Linked DNA regions of Oryctolagus cuniculus. The protein of the gene in region 3 interacts with the protein of the main gene of each other region in a pairwise test. Links are inferred from orthologs where the notes say so. Each region holds a gene or a part of one and is shown on either strand. Other genes may lie near its edges.

Region 1 (3,999 bases), about 29 Mb from region 3:
ATTCCCTTTCCTCCATCCCTCTGCCCCCCAGCCCCTGGTAGCCACCATTCTATTGTTTCTATGAGTTTGACTTGAGATACCTCATGTAAGTGGAATCATACAGCATTTGTCTGTGACGGGCTTGTTTCACTTAGAAAGTCCTCCAAGTTCATCTGGGTTGTAGTTATGTGACAGCATTTTCTTCCTTTTTTAAGGTATTCCATTGTACTTTTATCTTCGCTTATCCATTCTTCTATCAATGGACATTTGGGATGCTTCCAGGTCTTGCCTACTGGGAATACTCTACGAACATGGGTGGGCAAACATCTCCTCAAGACCCTGCTTTCAATAATTTTGGATATATATCCACAAGTGGGACTGGATCATATGGCAGTTCTAAGTTTTTGAAGAAATTCCATATTGTTTTCCATAGTGCTTGTACCATTTTACAATCCCATCAATAATGCATACGAGTTCCAACTCCAACGTGGTATATTTTCATTCTGTATTTGATGACTAATGATGTTGACTACTAGTTCACACAGTTTGGGTCCATTAAGATCTCCAGAATCTGTTCTGGTCTTCTGCCAATTTTTCTAATGAACTGTCTGGAAGAGTTCTTCTTATATTCCAGATAAGAGCTCTTTATTGGTTATATTTGTTGAACATACCGTCTTCTACTCTATGGCTTCCTGTTAATCAATGTCATCTGATTAAAAGAAGTTTATGTTACCTAATGTAGTTGAATATAGTAATCTTTTCTTTATAATTTGTGTATGTGTATTTCTCATCTAAGAACTGTTAGCTACTCTAAGACCAAGAATATACACTTACTTTCTACAATAATTTTTCTTTTACCTTTTATACTTAGATCTGCAGTCCAACTAGTACTGTTATTTTTAAGACTGTGAGGAGGTTAAATTCCATTCGTTTCCTACACGACTATCCAACTGATCTAGCATCATTTATCGAAAAGACCACTTTTTCAGTTCTATCTTTATAAATGAAGAGCTCACACACGAAGACGTCAAAAAATTCACAGAAAACACATATTAGGAAAAAACCATGCATGCACTTTGAAAATTTTAGGCACCAAGATAAACTTATGTTTTAACTGTTTTCCATCAATTTTTTGAGGCACTTTCATTATGTGTGGGCCTGTTACTTGCCTTTTTAATCTGTTCTGTTGCATCAAAGTCACAGCTGTAACCACTGTAGCTTTACAAAAAATCTTGATGTTCAGAGTAGCCCTCTCACTTACACTGTCTTTACAGTCTCTCACCCTGATTCCCTGCATTTTCACGCCAATATTATGACTTTTCCAGTCTGTGAATGCATAACTTCTCTCCATTCACTTAGGCATCGAATCCTGGATTGTAAGATGTGAAATTCTTGCTAGGTTTCACTTCTCCTCTTGCACCCTTCTCCAGCATCTAATACAAGGATCCGGGTCCCCTCCTCCTCACCTGACTTGGGGTCACCAGGCTTTCCATTGGCCATGGGGGGAGGGCCCAGAAGGCTGGGTGGTCCTAAGAGTAGACATGAAAATACCGTCATCAGAATGGGCTATGATCCTGTCCTCAGATGTCCTTCTAGAATGCACTCCTTAACTCAATCAGCGAAGTGAGCTATGTATCATCAGTGTTGCACATTCTCACCCCATCTGTGGGCCCTTTCCTCTGCCAAGCTGTTTCCATGTTCTGCTAGAAAGCAGAGACTCAGGAAACCCGGTCATGCAGGAATGACGCTGACCACTGTCTTTCCCTCATACTGGTGCAACCACAACATCCTAGGTAATTCCAGGGCTAATTCAATCCCCCACCTGAACTGCTGGCCAATCAAACAGCTCTTTTCCCCTCCCCCTCCCCCAGGGGAGTGCTTAAAAGGCGGCCGCACTGCATTCTACCCTCCTAGTTTGATCTCAGACTGCGCTCCCACCCGCCACAGCCTGCAACATCGCGCACCTCTCCTCCTGCGGCTGCGCACTCCGCACTTTAGCTTTTCCTCCCCCGCCTCCTCCAGAAAGGTTTGGGGGCCGGATAAAGGCCAGGAGTTCAGGTGAGTAAACTCCTGGCTTAAAGCTGCATGCAGGACAGCCCCTTCCCCTGCGCGTGCGCCCTCGCGCCTTCCGTGAGCGCCCCCTCCCCCGCACCTGCCTAGTCCCTGGCCCCAGCCTGGCCCAGCTGCCGAGAACGTGCGCTCCCTTACCCATGGGACAACCATCTTCCTCGTCTCCAGTCTCCTCCCGCTCGGGCCGTGGGGGCTGCTGTGGCGGCGGCTGCGGATTCTGCTTCTTTCGTTTCGGCATCGTGGCTGCGGCAATGGCTGCAGCGGGATTTGGAGGGCAGTGAGGAAGGGGCACGCTGGAAGCTGTTTCCGCTTCCGGGGGGAGCCCGGTGGGCAGCGGGGCTGAGGCTCCCGCCATTCCACTTCCGGGAGGCAGCGGGGAGCCCCTGCCGCGGCCGCACCCGCCCGAAAACCGCCCCGCTCCCGCTCTGCTAGGCACGGCGGCAACCTCAAACCTTACCTTTGCTGCATCTCTCCAAGTGCTTACAAGTGCCCTCTCCTCCGCCAAGAAACACCACAGTGTGCTGCAGAGCCCACGGGCTTCCGGGCCGGACGGCCTGAGAGCGGGCTGTCGCGTCCTAACGTCGCCACTTCCGGTGCCCTGTTACCATGGGAACAGCCGCAGGCACAACTCGGTGCCCTCTGACCTCCCTCCAAAAGTCCTTGTCCCACCTGGGTCTCCCTTCCCGCCCGCGCTTGGGATCTGCAGACCCGCCCGTTAGCATCGAAATTCGGGTCCCAGCAGGTCCGCGCCCGGGAACCGGCAGAACGCCACCCGCCCCTTAAGACCTCCGGCCGTGCCCCACGAGTCGCCAGCAAGCGGGCTTCCCTCTCGGGGTGCTCCGTCTCCGCTTTCCACCCAGGCCAATCCCCGCTCGGTGCTGTCGCCTCGGCGCGTCCCCGCCCCCTCCCTCCGAAGGTAGCTGGGCCCGCCCTCCGCTCCGCCGCCCCCGCCAGGTGAGTGGTAGCGTCTCCCGGGAGCGCAAGGTAGTGATGACACGCGCCCCCCCTCCTGCGGGCGCCCGTTGGTAGCGTCCGTGACGGAGCGGGCCCGATCCTCCCACGCGCGCCTCCTCCTCCACCGCCGCTGCGCCCCGCCGGTGCCGCTGACTCTCACGTGCCGGCCGCCTGCCCCGTCCCCTCAGCCCCTCGCCTCGCTCCGGGAGAGACGTGACCACCCCGTGTCTGCTTTCCGTCCCGGCAGTCGCCGCCGGCCGGCCCGGCCCGTCCGTGACGTCACCCGCTAGCCCCGCCTCCTCGAGGGTCCCGGGCCCTGGCGGCGGGGGCTGCCCCCGGGAGTCAGTTGAGGCGGCGGGAGCTCGGCGGAGGGGCGGGCCCGGTGACTGGTCCGGGCCATGCCGAGGAAGAAGCCCTTCAGCGTGAAGCAGAAGAAGAAGCAGCTGCAGGACAAGCGCGAACGGAAGCGAGGTCAGTGCGGGAGCGGGCGGAGGGGGCGGGGCTCGGGCTCCCGCACCTCTGAGGGAGGGGTGTGCCCGCTGCACCTGGGGAGGGGGCGTGGGAGGGGGCGGCGAGCGCGCGCCGAGGTGCGCGGGCGGCCGTGGAGGGGTTCCCCCATAGCTGGAAGGGGTGGGCGAGGATGGGGAGCTGGGGGAGGGGAAGCCGTTCCCGCAGCTCCCTGGAGCAGCGACTGCCCCCGCGCACATCCGGAGGGGTCCTGGGGCGCGTGGCTGGGAGGGCCGAGCCGCGGAGGAAGTTGGGTGGGTGGAGGGGAGCCAGGCCTCCCGGGGCTGGGGCCGGGGCGGGGGCGTGGGGGGGGGGTCTTATGGCCCCTGAGAGCCGGCCAGCGCTGGCGTCACCGGCCCCTCCCCGCAGGACTTCAAGATGGGCTGCGCTCCAGTTCCAACAGCCGCAGCGGGAGCCGGGAGCGGCGGGAGGAGCAGACTGACACCTCGGACGGGGAGTCTGTGACCCATCACATCCGCAGGCTTAATC
Region 2 (4,170 bases), on a different chromosome or scaffold from region 3:
GAAATGCAGCTAAGTGCAGCACATTCAATCCAAAGTGATAACAAGGGCTCAGGTAATGGCTCTCAGAGAAGTGGAAGGTATGAAAAACACGCAATAAGCAGATATGACAAGAGACAGAAGATGTAATTTCAAAGACAAACAAAGAAAGCTTAAACCTTGGAGGTTTTTGAAAAGAAATATGAGACCAGAACACCTTCAAAACCCATGACAACACCATAGCCATAGAAGTTATAGGAATGCCATCAATTTTTAAATATATTTGTCACTCAGTAACATGTGGATATGGAGGACTAGTGTATCTGAAGAGAGAAGTACATAGGCTCCAGAAAAGGCAAAAGGAGACATTGTAACCTTTTAGTGGTCCAACACTGGTTTAATAAAATCACTGCTCAAAGGTAACTCAGTGAGCAAAGTTCTCAGAGATAGAAACTGCCTTAAATACCTTAACTTTTCTTAGTGTCAAATGATCACTTTTTCTGTCTCCAAGCAGTTATCTTTGGAAATGATTAATTCAATCATTTAAGGGCCCATGAAGACACTCCTTTTTTGTTCTTGTCATGGTTAAGTTTAATGGAATGGAAGAGAAGAACACTTAACTGTAAAAGAATCCAAAGCAAAAACAAACTAAAAGCAGAATGGAAAGAAAAGTGAAATGGAGCAAAGCAAGTGCCTCTTACAAGGCCCAAGAATGACATTCGAGGGCCTTTGGACATAGTCACAGCTTGCTACCTGCCTCTTACAGGCCAGATGCAACACTGCTGGCCTTGGACTAGGCAGCAAGCCTACTGCAGCCAGGGTCCCATGCTCCCATGCTGCACAACCCCTGTATCAACGTGTTCAAAAACAAAAACAAAAACAAAAAAACTTGAAGAAAAGGGAGGGTGTGAGGAGTCTTTTTAAAATACATCCCACTGGATAAATATTTCAGACAGCTTAACATAAAAATCTACTGATAAGGGGTTTTGAAACAACCGCCCAATTTGTTTTGTGCACCACATTAGATGTAACTAAGAACAGAGGTCTGTAGCCTTCTGTTGATATTTAGCTTACAACTGTTTTGTGCATTGGACCCCAGGGCCAATTTAAGTAATGTTTTCTTAGGAAGGAGCTGAAGTTGTTGTTGGCTGCCTCACCGCTCATTCAGAGACATCTTGGTGGTGCTTTTTAGCACAACTTTCGGCGCTGACTGAGCAGCCATCTTCAGATCCCGAGAATCTACAAAGGACAACAGCAGAATGAGCAGGTCAGAATAACAGCCACCTTATACAGAACAAGGCCCAAACCACCGAAAAAGCCTTACCACTGACTCCTGAGGAACACGGGAGGGTACTTCAAAGTTCATGGGAAACGGAATTAAAAGGTAACTTTGCTTTGGTAAGAAATTTTTTAGAATCTATGCATGTAAGGGATCTATCCTGAAAAAGTTTCTGGAGGGGCAGGCATTGTGGTTCAGCTACTCCACCTCCAGAATAGCTCCCTGCAGGCCTGGGAGGCGGCAGGTGATGGCTGAAGTATCTGATCCCTGCCACCCGTTGGAAAACCGGATGGAGATCCTGGTTAATGGCTTCAGCCTGGCCCAGACCTGGCCTTTGTGGCCATCTGGAGAGTAAACCAGCAGATGGAAGATCTCTCTTTCATATACACAAATGCTTAAAAAAAAAGTTTATAGAAACGTATACTACAAAAGACTGCATAGAATGCAAAAATTATTTTGCACCAAAATGTCTTTCAATTCAATTTTCTATAAAATTTTAAAAAGCACCCTCAAATCGAAGCTCACTTCAAGTTTACATGAGAAATTATTCAATTTCAAGGCCAAAAGGCATGTAATATCTGCCAAATGGTCCAAAATGGCAGAAACAGCTCAAGAAGGTGCAAGAGAGTCTGGCTTTCGATCCAGACTCGTCCTTTTCAGCCTGTTTTTCCACAGGGGGCTTTCAAGAAACAGATGCCTGGGCTCAGACCGATCAAACCGCAATCTCTGATGGTGGAGGTCTGGGGCTCATCAATAGGGGCGTGGGGGGAGGGGTAGCTACCCAGGTGCTTCTAATGAGTAGCTGAGGTTGACAGCTGCCGGTTTAGAAAGAAAATACAGGCATGCCTAGTCTCAAAATCGGTTTCCTATTCCCAAGTCAGAACTTAACAACGGACTAAGGATCTGGAGAAAGGAACAGGAAAGGTTCCCTAAACGGGCATTCATCTGGGAGCTGGCTCCCAGGGAGCCCTCTACAGAACTTAACCCTAAGCACGCCACTGTTTCCAACACTAGTCTTCAAAGCCCTGTCAAGACCGCCAACTTTGCTCAACTCGTCCAACGATCTTTCTTTTCCTCGGTACCCAACGACAGCCTCCGTGAACCCCGCCGCGGGGTCGCGGCCGGCGCAGCCCCTCCCCCCTCCGCGGCCCCGCCCCCTCCCCCGCGGTCCCCGCAGCCCACCGCCCCCCATGCGCGTCCGCCGGCTCCTTCCGCTCCCCTTCTCTCACCACAGAGACGCACCGAAGGAAACGGACGCCAGTGCTCCTCCCGGGGCTGCCAGCACGGCTGCGGCAGGGCGGGCCGGGGACCGGCCGAACCTCAGTAATTGACGGTGGAGGGGCTCCGGTTAATTAGATGGGCGGTTGGGTCAGATGCTTAAGTGGTAGACTGCGAGGCTAGTCCGTGGCTGTTGGCTGGCTGTGTCGTTGGCCGACCCGCCTGATCGCCCGGCCTGCCCTTCCCTGCCTTCAGTCTGTGCCACCACAGCTGCCGCCGCCAACTCCCGCTCGCTCTCCAAAACAAAATGGCCGCCACGCCCAGTGCGGCATGGGACCGGCTAAAATGGCGCCGACGCAATTGCGTCAGACGTTGGATCCGCGCACTAGTAGGGGGCGGGGATTTGTCACGCCCTGCGCAGAGCTAGGGGGCGGAGCCCTGGGTGGGAAGGAGGGGCTTTAGAGTTACACAGATGGCTCCGCCCCCGGGGCGTGGCTAGTGGCTTCGCTATTCTAGCGGGTATTAACTGCTACCTCCTGGAGTTGTCAGCGGCCCTGCTCCCAAGAGAGGTTTTAGTCCCGTTAGGAAAGAGTTCGTGTTCCTTCGGGCCTTTCTCCCCACGCCCTTGGCTAAGGCATCATGTTTACAAATCTTAAAGCGGAACCTGCTTTGGTCTCTGGCAATGCCAGAGCCGGGTGATTGGCACTGGTGGCTTTCCCCCGCGCCCCTTCGCTGTTTGGGTCGTGAAGTGCTGCAAAGGCCAGGGCAAGCCAGTGCTGGGGGCACACCTCCTGCCATCCGCCGCAGCCTCCATTGCCCGTCCATGTTTTCCTCTTCCCTGACTTGGCTGTTTTTCAACTCTCCTCTGATCAGGTCCCGGATCCCCCTTCCCCTCCCCTCCCTGGGAATTTAGTGCAGACCTATGAAAGGATTTTCCTTATGGCCACACAATCACGTCCTCAAACGTTGGAGGAAAGAGAGAAAGCACACAGTGGGGGCTTCCTCTACCCTCGCTCTGGGCACTGAGTTGTATGTGTGCATTTTTAGTGGGCCTCTCTCCTTGCTGGACTTCACCCAGTGAGGGTGACCATGGTGTTTATTTTGCTCACTGCTGTATCCCCAGTTCCTGCACAAGGTAGGACCCCTGTAAATATCTGCTGAGGATTGAAAGGAGATTTTTCTGTTTTTACAGCTGGGAAGCAGACGTCTCCCCTTCCAGCTGGAACCTGGAACCCCACTGAGCATTAAGGCAGATGGAATGCACGTGACCTCCCTCCAAAATAAGTGGAGCGAAACCCCTCAGGGCTGCCCTTCCGGACCCACAGGAGACAGACACCAGACGGCTGGCAATAGAGGAGCCTTTAATGAGAGATGAGCTGCAGGGCGGGCCTGCTGCTTGGCGCCCTGGGTGTGTGGGGGAGTGTGAGGTGGTAGCCGGGTGTAGGGGCAGGTCTGGGGGGACGGAGCGGTAGGGCGCTGCCCTCTGGGGCTGTCTGCTCAACTGTTCTCCCAGAAGAAGTTGTTACAGGCCACTGTGAGAGCAGCCACCAGCACCACGTACTCCTGGAAGTCCACCTCCCCGTCTCCGTCCTCGTCCAGTTCCTTCATCACCTTGTCCACGGCATCTGCATCCTTCTGGGCCTGTGGAGGGGGGAGAGAGCGGGAGAGGTGTCCAGCACCGAGTCCAGGGCCAGAGG
Region 3 (3,500 bases):
ATTTGGATCAAGACTAGGAGACAGCCCGAGGGACAGTTTCTGCTCGTGACTAGAGCTAGACATTATTTCAATAGCAGCCCTACTGTGGCCATATTTTGTTATGTGTTCAGTCTCACTGATCATACATATCAAAAACTCTATAGATAGGAATGGAACAGGAACACATAATAGGAACAAACAGAATCAAAGTAAGAGATGAGACTCCTTATAGCTTTCTGGTACCTTGGTCCAGACTTTTCTTAATGTTTCATAGCACTTCTCTTACTATATTTATGAACTTAGATTCATGTTACACTCCTGCCTCTGCCAGTTATTTTTCTTTCCTAAAATAAGCTCAAATGCTTCTATTTGTACTCAATAATGCCCATCTGATTCACAAAATCTAGGTAAATGTCTATGACATTATACATACCACGTCTTACTGAACACCAATATTATTATAGGTACTTAGAAATGTTTCAGTGCTTAAAAATATTTATATCTGATCTTCAGGACAGTCTAGTGGGGCTGAACTGACCACCCCCATTACATAGAAGATAAATCCCAGCCTCAAACTATCTATAAAGTCATACAACTGGTGACACAGCTGGAATTTAAATCTTAGGATAGGCTGTCTGTTTTGAAACACTATTCCTGTCCATTCAGAAATGCTGCAGACTGTGCTGAATACCCTTCAGCAGAATCTCCAACTGAATTTTAACTTCTTGCTTTGAACTCCTCATTTCAATAAATGGTGACTCAATTTAACCCAGTTTTTAGATCAGAAATAGAAAGATCATCCTTTACCCTTGTCTCTTTCATACAACACATACCTGTCCATTCACCAAATCCAACACATCATTTTCACAGTGCACTCAGAATCTGACCTCTTTTTCCCCCCCTCCAAGCCCTCATTTTTATCAGTGGCAGAATTTTGCCATGAGTTACTAGTTTCTCTGTTTCTACTGCTGTGTTCATCCCCACCCCTATATTCCATTCTCCATGATGCAGGCAGAATAAACCTTTTAAAATAGAAGACTTGCTCTTGATTTTTTCCCCCACTGGTTAAGTTGGAATGAACGTGAAAAGTTACAATTCTGTTTTGTTGATCTTGTCCTCTTTCATAGGGCCATATTTCTCATGTAAACTTTTTGATTAATAACAATGTTCACTACAGAAACCTAAAAAATCTCTTTTGACAAAAAAAAAAAAAAAGTAGATCTGATAGTTCAAGCCTCTGTTTGAAGGACAAAAACACCATAGTAGCAATGGACATAAAGATTGTGGTGCTAAAAGGTTACTCAGAGATAAAAAATGATCCCATTATCCCTGTTTTGGAAATGTAGATGTCTCAGACAAGAGTTGGCAGAACCAGAGCTAGTCCCTCTGTTTTCTGACTCCTGGACTTGCTCACAATATTGTTATGTTTTCTGATTCTAAGATCTTAAATATCTAAGGTTTTAAATATCAATGCCTGATGCATAAAAGATACTTTAGATGAACCTCAACTATTGCAATAAAAGTAATTTTTGTGGTTAATTTTTCTTCACTTGCAGTTATTAGGCAATATTTCATAACTTCCCCCAAAATTAACACACATAAAATATTACTATATACTTCATGACACCTATGAACTGTTTTATTTTAGGATTGAAGTCTGATTATTAGACCATTCTTAAGGCATTTATATGATTTGAGTGCTCAGCTTGTGATGGTAACCCTCCTAGAAGAGTTATATTTAATGAGCATAATTCACAGAAGACATTTAGAGGAAAGAATGTTTGTAATGGTTGAATGAAACAAACAGCTAGATTGGCGATAGGCATGCTGGAGTGGTTAAAGGAAAAATGAGTTTGTTTCTTAGGATGATCTTAGATGAATCTTGGATTCAATTTTACATTTACAGTGGACTTCCTATGGCTACACAAATGAATAAGAAACTCATCTATTTAGAAGTTTCGAAATCTAGAAAGAGAAATGGTTACAAGACTGCTCTACAGTGTCACAGGTGCAATACAGATGACCTGTACTGAAAGCCAAAGAGTGGATGTACAAAATGATCAAGAGATACAGTGGACGGAGGGAGAAGGGTGCTTAGAGATATTGCGATGTTTCTGTTCATTCTAGGCTTTTTGGCATTCTTTTTGCCCATCTTCTTTCTTTCACATGATGAAAGAAAGATATGTAAGCCCAGTCACATACATGCCCTGGCATTATCTCCAAAGTTTATAATATGATCACATTACATTTATCAACTATTTCTGAGTTTTATGCTAGCCTTTTTTATGTCTCAGGATTATTCTCTGAAAACATGACAGTTCATATCATATTTATAATTATTTTCTGATTAAACATCCTCAAGAATACCTCAAGATAACTTGAATCTTAAAATGCAAGCTATTTAATTGTCATTAACAACAATGATGGTACCTGTAACATGAAAACATTTTTCAAAATGCTCTCATTTAAATGTGCTTCTTACCCTCTGTTGCAAATGACATTGGTTTTCCACAATAAATATTACCTGCTATATTCATAATATGTGACTATTTTTGAGACTTATCTTATTCACTAATCAATTTGATTCTTCCTCATAACCAATTTTATCAGGTACTTACATATTCTTCATAAGCCTCATGGGATGGAGGAGGGGGTGCCCTGTATCCTGGCACTGTTGGGGTCCCCCGGGCTCGAGGGGTAGGGACACCTCTCGCTACTGGGGGCACTGGAAGAGCTCCACGAGTTACAGTGGTCCCGCGAGGGGTGAGAACACCTCGACCAGGTGGTGGGGGAGGAGGAATGGCACCCCCACGGCCCCTAGAAGAAACAGGGTTAGAACAGATGAGAAACAAGTGATGAGACAAGAGGCTGTAACAGCTAAAGCTCCTACCTCACAGTTCCCATACAATGGGAGAAATTCAAATTTATCTCCCTCTACATGTGGGTAGTAGAGATCATTTAGTTGTAAACTGCTCTGACCTCCATATAAGCACACATTTTATAAAAACTGTGACTTAATTCTCCTGAAAATTTTGTAAAATACTTTGATACTATCTACAATATAACTAAAAAACCAAAGTAAAATAGAAATCCCACTCTGATTATATTTCATATTTTCTGAGAGGATTCAAACCGCAGAGCATGAACTCACTGGACCATCTATGAAATAGAGCAATTGTATGTCTGTGTTTCCCCCATACTGGGGGTCACTGACTGTGATGTGCAATGTTGTCATTTACAAAAAACAAAGTCTGTTTGCACGTTAATAAAATGTGGAGCTCTAATCATATGAAAGCATTCAGAGTATTACATTAGTTTAAGTTTGAGGTCATTTGAAATCACAACTCATTGTCACTAATTTTTCACCACACCTGTAAATCCTGAGCTGGTGCAGTCCCCAACATAATGTATTTTCTTATGGTAACCATAGTGCTAGTGGAATACATCAGTACTCTGCAATAAAAAGAATAGACTGAACACTCTGTACTGCAGTTCTTGACACAAAAGTAACCTGCACTAAA
Region 4 (3,989 bases), on a different chromosome or scaffold from region 3:
CCAGGGCTGGGCCAGGCCAAAGCCAGGAGCCAGAAAGCCCATTAGCAGGAGGCTGGATTAGAAGCATACAGTAGGGGCTGGCACTGTGGCGCAGTAGGCTAAGCCTCTGTCTGTGGCTCTGGCATCCCATATGGGTGCCGGTTCGTGTCCTGGCTGCTCCTCTTGTGACCCAGCTCCCTGAAAATGTACCTGAGAAAGCAGTGGGAGATGGCCCAAGTCCTTGGGCCCCTGCACCAGCATGGGAGACCTGGAAGAAGCTCCTGGCTCCTGGCTTCGGATCGGCACAGCTCCGTTGGAGTGAACCAGTGGATAGAAGACCTCTCTCTCTGCCTCTCTGTAACTCTGCCCTTCAAATAAATAAAATCTTTTTTAAAAAATATTTTATTTATTTATTTGAGAGAAGGAGAGAGACAGAAAAAAATCTTCCATAGACAGAGAGAGGGAGAGAGAGGGAAAGGTCTTCCATCGCTGGTTCACTCCTCAAACTGCCACAACAGCTGGAGCTGGGCTGATCTGAAGCCAGGAGCTTCTTCAGGGTCTCCCATGCAGGTGCAGGGGCCCAAGGACTGGAGCCATCTCCTACTGCTTTCCCAGGCCATAGCAGAGAGCTGGATCAGAAGAGGAGCACCCGGGACATGAAACAGTGCCCATACAGGACATCGGCACTGCAGACAGGCTTAGCCTACTACACCACAGCACCTGACCCAGGCGTCACGTTTTGTAGAAAGCATCTCAGGCAGTTCCTGTAGAGGGTGGCTTCATGGGCAAGCAGAGAGAATGAGGGCTGACGTCAGAGATACAAAGGAATGACGCCGGGATAAAGGGTGCCAGGGCAAGCGGCTAAATGTGGGTCACACAGGAGAAAACCTACGAGTTAAAAGCAGAAACTGAGAAAAGGTAGGGTCTAAGGCAAGAGCGATGGGAACGTCAGGCCCTTAAGGGATATGAGGGGAGGGGACTAGAAGATGACGGAGGCTGAGAGCAGAGCACGGCAAATACGTTGGCAGGGATGTTAGGAGGCTACCGGAGCCAAGTGGAAAAAATGACATCAAGGACAGTGAGGGTGATAGGAACAGAAAGGGATGTGAGAGCTAAATGGTTTCCGCGCGCAAGGGAACAAAGTGTCTCAGACGCAGGCAGGAGGCTGCCGTTAGGGGGCACCAATTGCAAAAACGTGGGCTCCATTCCCGGGCGCGCACGGAGAGGCTTGTTCCCTTCGCTCTGCCATCCCTTCCTCTCCACCCTTCCTCTGGCCTCAGCCAGTGAACAGGCACGCCAGAGCACGTTGACTGACGGAGTGGGGGAGGACGTCCCGTGACGTGCCCTCTACGTGTGCTTTATCAGGCGTCTTCGCGCACGGCTGCTTCCCTGTTCTCTCTGCTCCCGCGAGGTGGCCATTTGCCTGCCGCTTTTACTTTTTAATTTTTAGGTAAGCAAAGTAAATCTCGCAGAACGACTCCCTTGGTATGCTGCGGCGGCCAGGAGGAAGGGGCGCGGGTGGGGAAGGGAGCAGCCGCTGACACGTATGCTTAGGCGTTGGTCGGGGTGGGCGGCGGGTTTCGTGCGTACACATGAAACATGTCGGTTGTTGGGAGCTTGGCGCGCTTTATCTAAGTGCAGAGAAAGGCTGCCAGCGTCCGGGGCAGTAGTGACCACACGACGGCCGGGACACTGGGACACCCCCCCCCCGCTCCCCACGTGACCGCCGCCATCTTGTGCGCGCGCGGAGGAAACGCGCGAGTGTTCTGAGTCTGCGCAGCAGTACAAAATGACGGGCGTGGCACCTGGGAGGTTGTGGGCATGCGCAATGGCGGCCTTCAAATGGCGACTCCTCTAAACCGGTAGATTTTCCTTCCCTTTCAGATTGCACCCATTCATTATTTTGTTCCCTTTTGTGTATTTTCTGTGTATCTCTTTAATCCTTAGTTTGCCTGACCTTTTTTTTTTGAATACCCTGGTCCATTCCGTTCCCCGCAGGACTCGAACTCATTGCCATGTCCTCTGAAGAAGGGAAGCTGTTCATTGGAGGGCTTAACTTCAACACCGATGAGCAAGCGCTGGAAGACCACTTCAGCAGCTTCGGGCCTATTTCTGAGGGTGAGACTTGGAGTCGGACCCGCGATGATGGAGCAGGTCATGTCAGGGAACGTTCAGGGAGGACCCAGACGGTCGATTTATCCTTTTCCCGCGTTCCTAGGCCTGAAGTGTACATTTCGGAGGACTCCGTGAGATTGTGTTGGTCCCTGCTTTGCAGGCCACCCTCGTCACCGCCTTTCCCATCTCTCTCCTCCCGCAGTGGTCGTTGTCAAGGACCGGGAGACTCAGCGATCCCGGGGTTTTGGCTTCATCACCTTCACAAACCCAGAGCACGCCTCTGACGCCATGAGAGCCATGAATGGAGAGGTGAGGCCTTCTGCCTGCAGAGGGGCCCTGTCCCCATCTGCCGTTCCTCCGTTCCTTCTGTTTTTCCCTCTGTGTCTGCTAGGGGCAGCGTGGCCACCAAGCCCCGCAGTGCCCACTCACAGGAGCGTGACTGCCTTCTGTTCTAGGGGGTGGAGGGCAGCGGCACACAGAGCCGGGCTGCCTGGGAGGCGACGACTGGTCCTGCATGAGGCCGAGAAGCCACCTGTGGATGGTTGACCTGCCCTGGGCTTAGGTAGTAGAGTCTGCAGACCTGTGGGCCTGGCCCGGAGAGGACCTCGTGAGTCTTCTGGGATGGACTCGGAAGCCTCAAACCAAGAGAGGTGTCTGTCTAGCCCTAATAGTCGGGCAGCTTAGAGGAGTGGGGAGGAGAACTCAGCCTGAGTTCAGTCAAGATGTAAGTAGTGGCAGGGGGAACACGGTGGATACAGGTCATTTTGTGGGATGCTGTAGCTCCTGATGAAGCCATTCTGGTCAAAGGAGCTTGTTCTGGAACATGGCACCCAGAACCTGGTGCCCAGCAGGAATTTCTGGGCTCTTAGGCCCACCTGCCCATGCCCGCTCTGAGCTCGCCACTGCCCTGACTGACTGCCAATCCGCCCTCCTTGTGTCTCCCTGCCACGCCTAGTCCCTGGATGGTCGGCAGATCCGCGTGGACCACGCAGGCAAGTCTGCCCGGGGAACCAGAGGGGGTGCCTTTGGGGCCCATGGGCGTGGTCGCAGCTACTCCAGAGGTGAGTGTGTAGTCAGTTTGATCCTGGCGTGTGGGGCATCCGCCTATTAGTACCGTGTGTCTGGACAACTGCTGCTTAAATATTTCTCACCTGCTGTAGGTGGTGGGGACCAGGGCTATGGGAGCAGCAGGTATGACTCTCGACCTGGAGGATATGGATACGGATATGGACGGTCCCGGGACTACGGTGGCAGGTTGGTAGTCGGGGTGGGGTGGGGTGGGGTGCTCCGCTCCTCTGTCCCTAAGCGCTCAGCTGCCTGGGGATCCGCACGCCTGTCACACCTAGGTGTTACTAGTGTGCACTAAGGACGGGTATGAACTACAACATTTTGTGTTACGTAATGCATTGTGTGGTCATTTGATCGCACCAGGACTGAGTGGTAATACTTTTGTGTTGATTGTGCTGTGTTTGATTGGTGACTCTAGTGCACCAAACGTGATAGAATTTAATACGGTACGTGTAACTTGTATGCATGAAGCTGTGTTCCCTAGACATAGTCTTGAAGTTGCTGTGTCCTGTTTTATGCATTCAGTTAACATGACATACATAGCTGTGTATAATGTTCGTGTAAAGCTCACGTGCTTTTCCCCAGAAGCCAGGGTGGTTACGAACGCTACTCAGGAGGAAACTACAGGGACAATTATGACAACTGAGATGCAGTGTGTGCCCATACCGTAGGTGAGGCCTGGACTTGGGCAGTGAGCAGACCTCCGTCTGTCGAACCCTGCTGTGCTTCTCTCTGCCTTCCTTCCAGACTGTTAGCATTTCTTCCCTCGCATCCCTTACCCACCCAGCATTTCTGGGCCTTTTTTGCTTGCAGTGCATGTCAGGGTT

What was found.
Region 1: the proteins of KHDRBS2 (region 3) and PRR3 interact in binary tests that used the Homo sapiens proteins (3 or more experiments, as listed by UniProt). The two-hybrid records come from large-scale screens. The link is inferred for Oryctolagus cuniculus from reciprocal best matches to the Homo sapiens genes KHDRBS2 and PRR3.
Region 2: the proteins of KHDRBS2 (region 3) and CHTOP interact in binary tests that used the Homo sapiens proteins (3 or more experiments, as listed by UniProt). The two-hybrid records come from large-scale screens. The link is inferred for Oryctolagus cuniculus from reciprocal best matches to the Homo sapiens genes KHDRBS2 and CHTOP.
Region 4: the proteins of KHDRBS2 (region 3) and RBM3 interact in binary tests that used the Homo sapiens proteins (3 or more experiments, as listed by UniProt). The link is inferred for Oryctolagus cuniculus from reciprocal best matches to the Homo sapiens genes KHDRBS2 and RBM3.

What each region holds. Positions count from the first base shown.
Region 1 is NC_091436.1:139,856,957-139,860,955, forward strand, and holds the start of PRR3 (proline-rich protein 3), read right to left. Parts: upstream 2,801-3,999; 5' UTR 2,507-2,800; intron 2,305-2,506; 5' UTR 2,288-2,304; coding exon 2,188-2,287; intron 1,509-2,187; coding exon 1,446-1,508; intron 1-1,445. Other genes in the region: GNL1 (guanine nucleotide-binding protein-like 1), read left to right, coding at 3,402-3,474, 3,880-3,999.
Region 2 is NC_091438.1:44,672,275-44,676,444, forward strand, and holds the start of CHTOP (chromatin target of PRMT1 protein), read right to left. Parts: upstream 2,801-4,170; 5' UTR 2,498-2,800; exon of another isoform or gene 2,485-2,497; intron 1,216-2,484; 5' UTR 1,199-1,215; coding exon 1,134-1,198; intron 1-1,133. Other genes in the region: S100A1 (protein S100-A1), read right to left, coding at 3,971-4,114. UniProt on the Homo sapiens protein: Plays an important role in the ligand-dependent activation of estrogen receptor target genes. May play a role in the silencing of fetal globin genes.
Region 3 is NC_091436.1:110,816,507-110,820,006, reverse strand, and holds part of KHDRBS2 (KH domain-containing, RNA-binding, signal transduction-associated protein 2), read right to left. Parts: intron 2,797-3,500; coding exon 2,598-2,796; intron 1-2,597. UniProt on the Homo sapiens protein: RNA-binding protein that plays a role in the regulation of alternative splicing and influences mRNA splice site selection and exon inclusion. Binds both poly(A) and poly(U) homopolymers. Phosphorylation by PTK6 inhibits its RNA-binding ability.
Region 4 is NC_091453.1:33,791,343-33,795,331, forward strand, and holds the start of RBM3 (RNA-binding protein 3), read left to right. Parts: upstream 1-1,189; 5' UTR 1,190-1,429; intron 1,430-1,605; exon of another isoform or gene 1,606-1,841; intron 1,842-1,977; 5' UTR 1,978-1,994; coding exon 1,995-2,097; intron 2,098-2,296; coding exon 2,297-2,403; intron 2,404-3,049; coding exon 3,050-3,155; intron 3,156-3,254; coding exon 3,255-3,348; intron 3,349-3,728; coding exon 3,729-3,801; coding exon of another isoform or gene 3,802-3,808; 3' UTR 3,809-3,833; intron 3,834-3,989. UniProt on the Homo sapiens protein: Cold-inducible mRNA binding protein that enhances global protein synthesis at both physiological and mild hypothermic temperatures. Reduces the relative abundance of microRNAs, when overexpressed.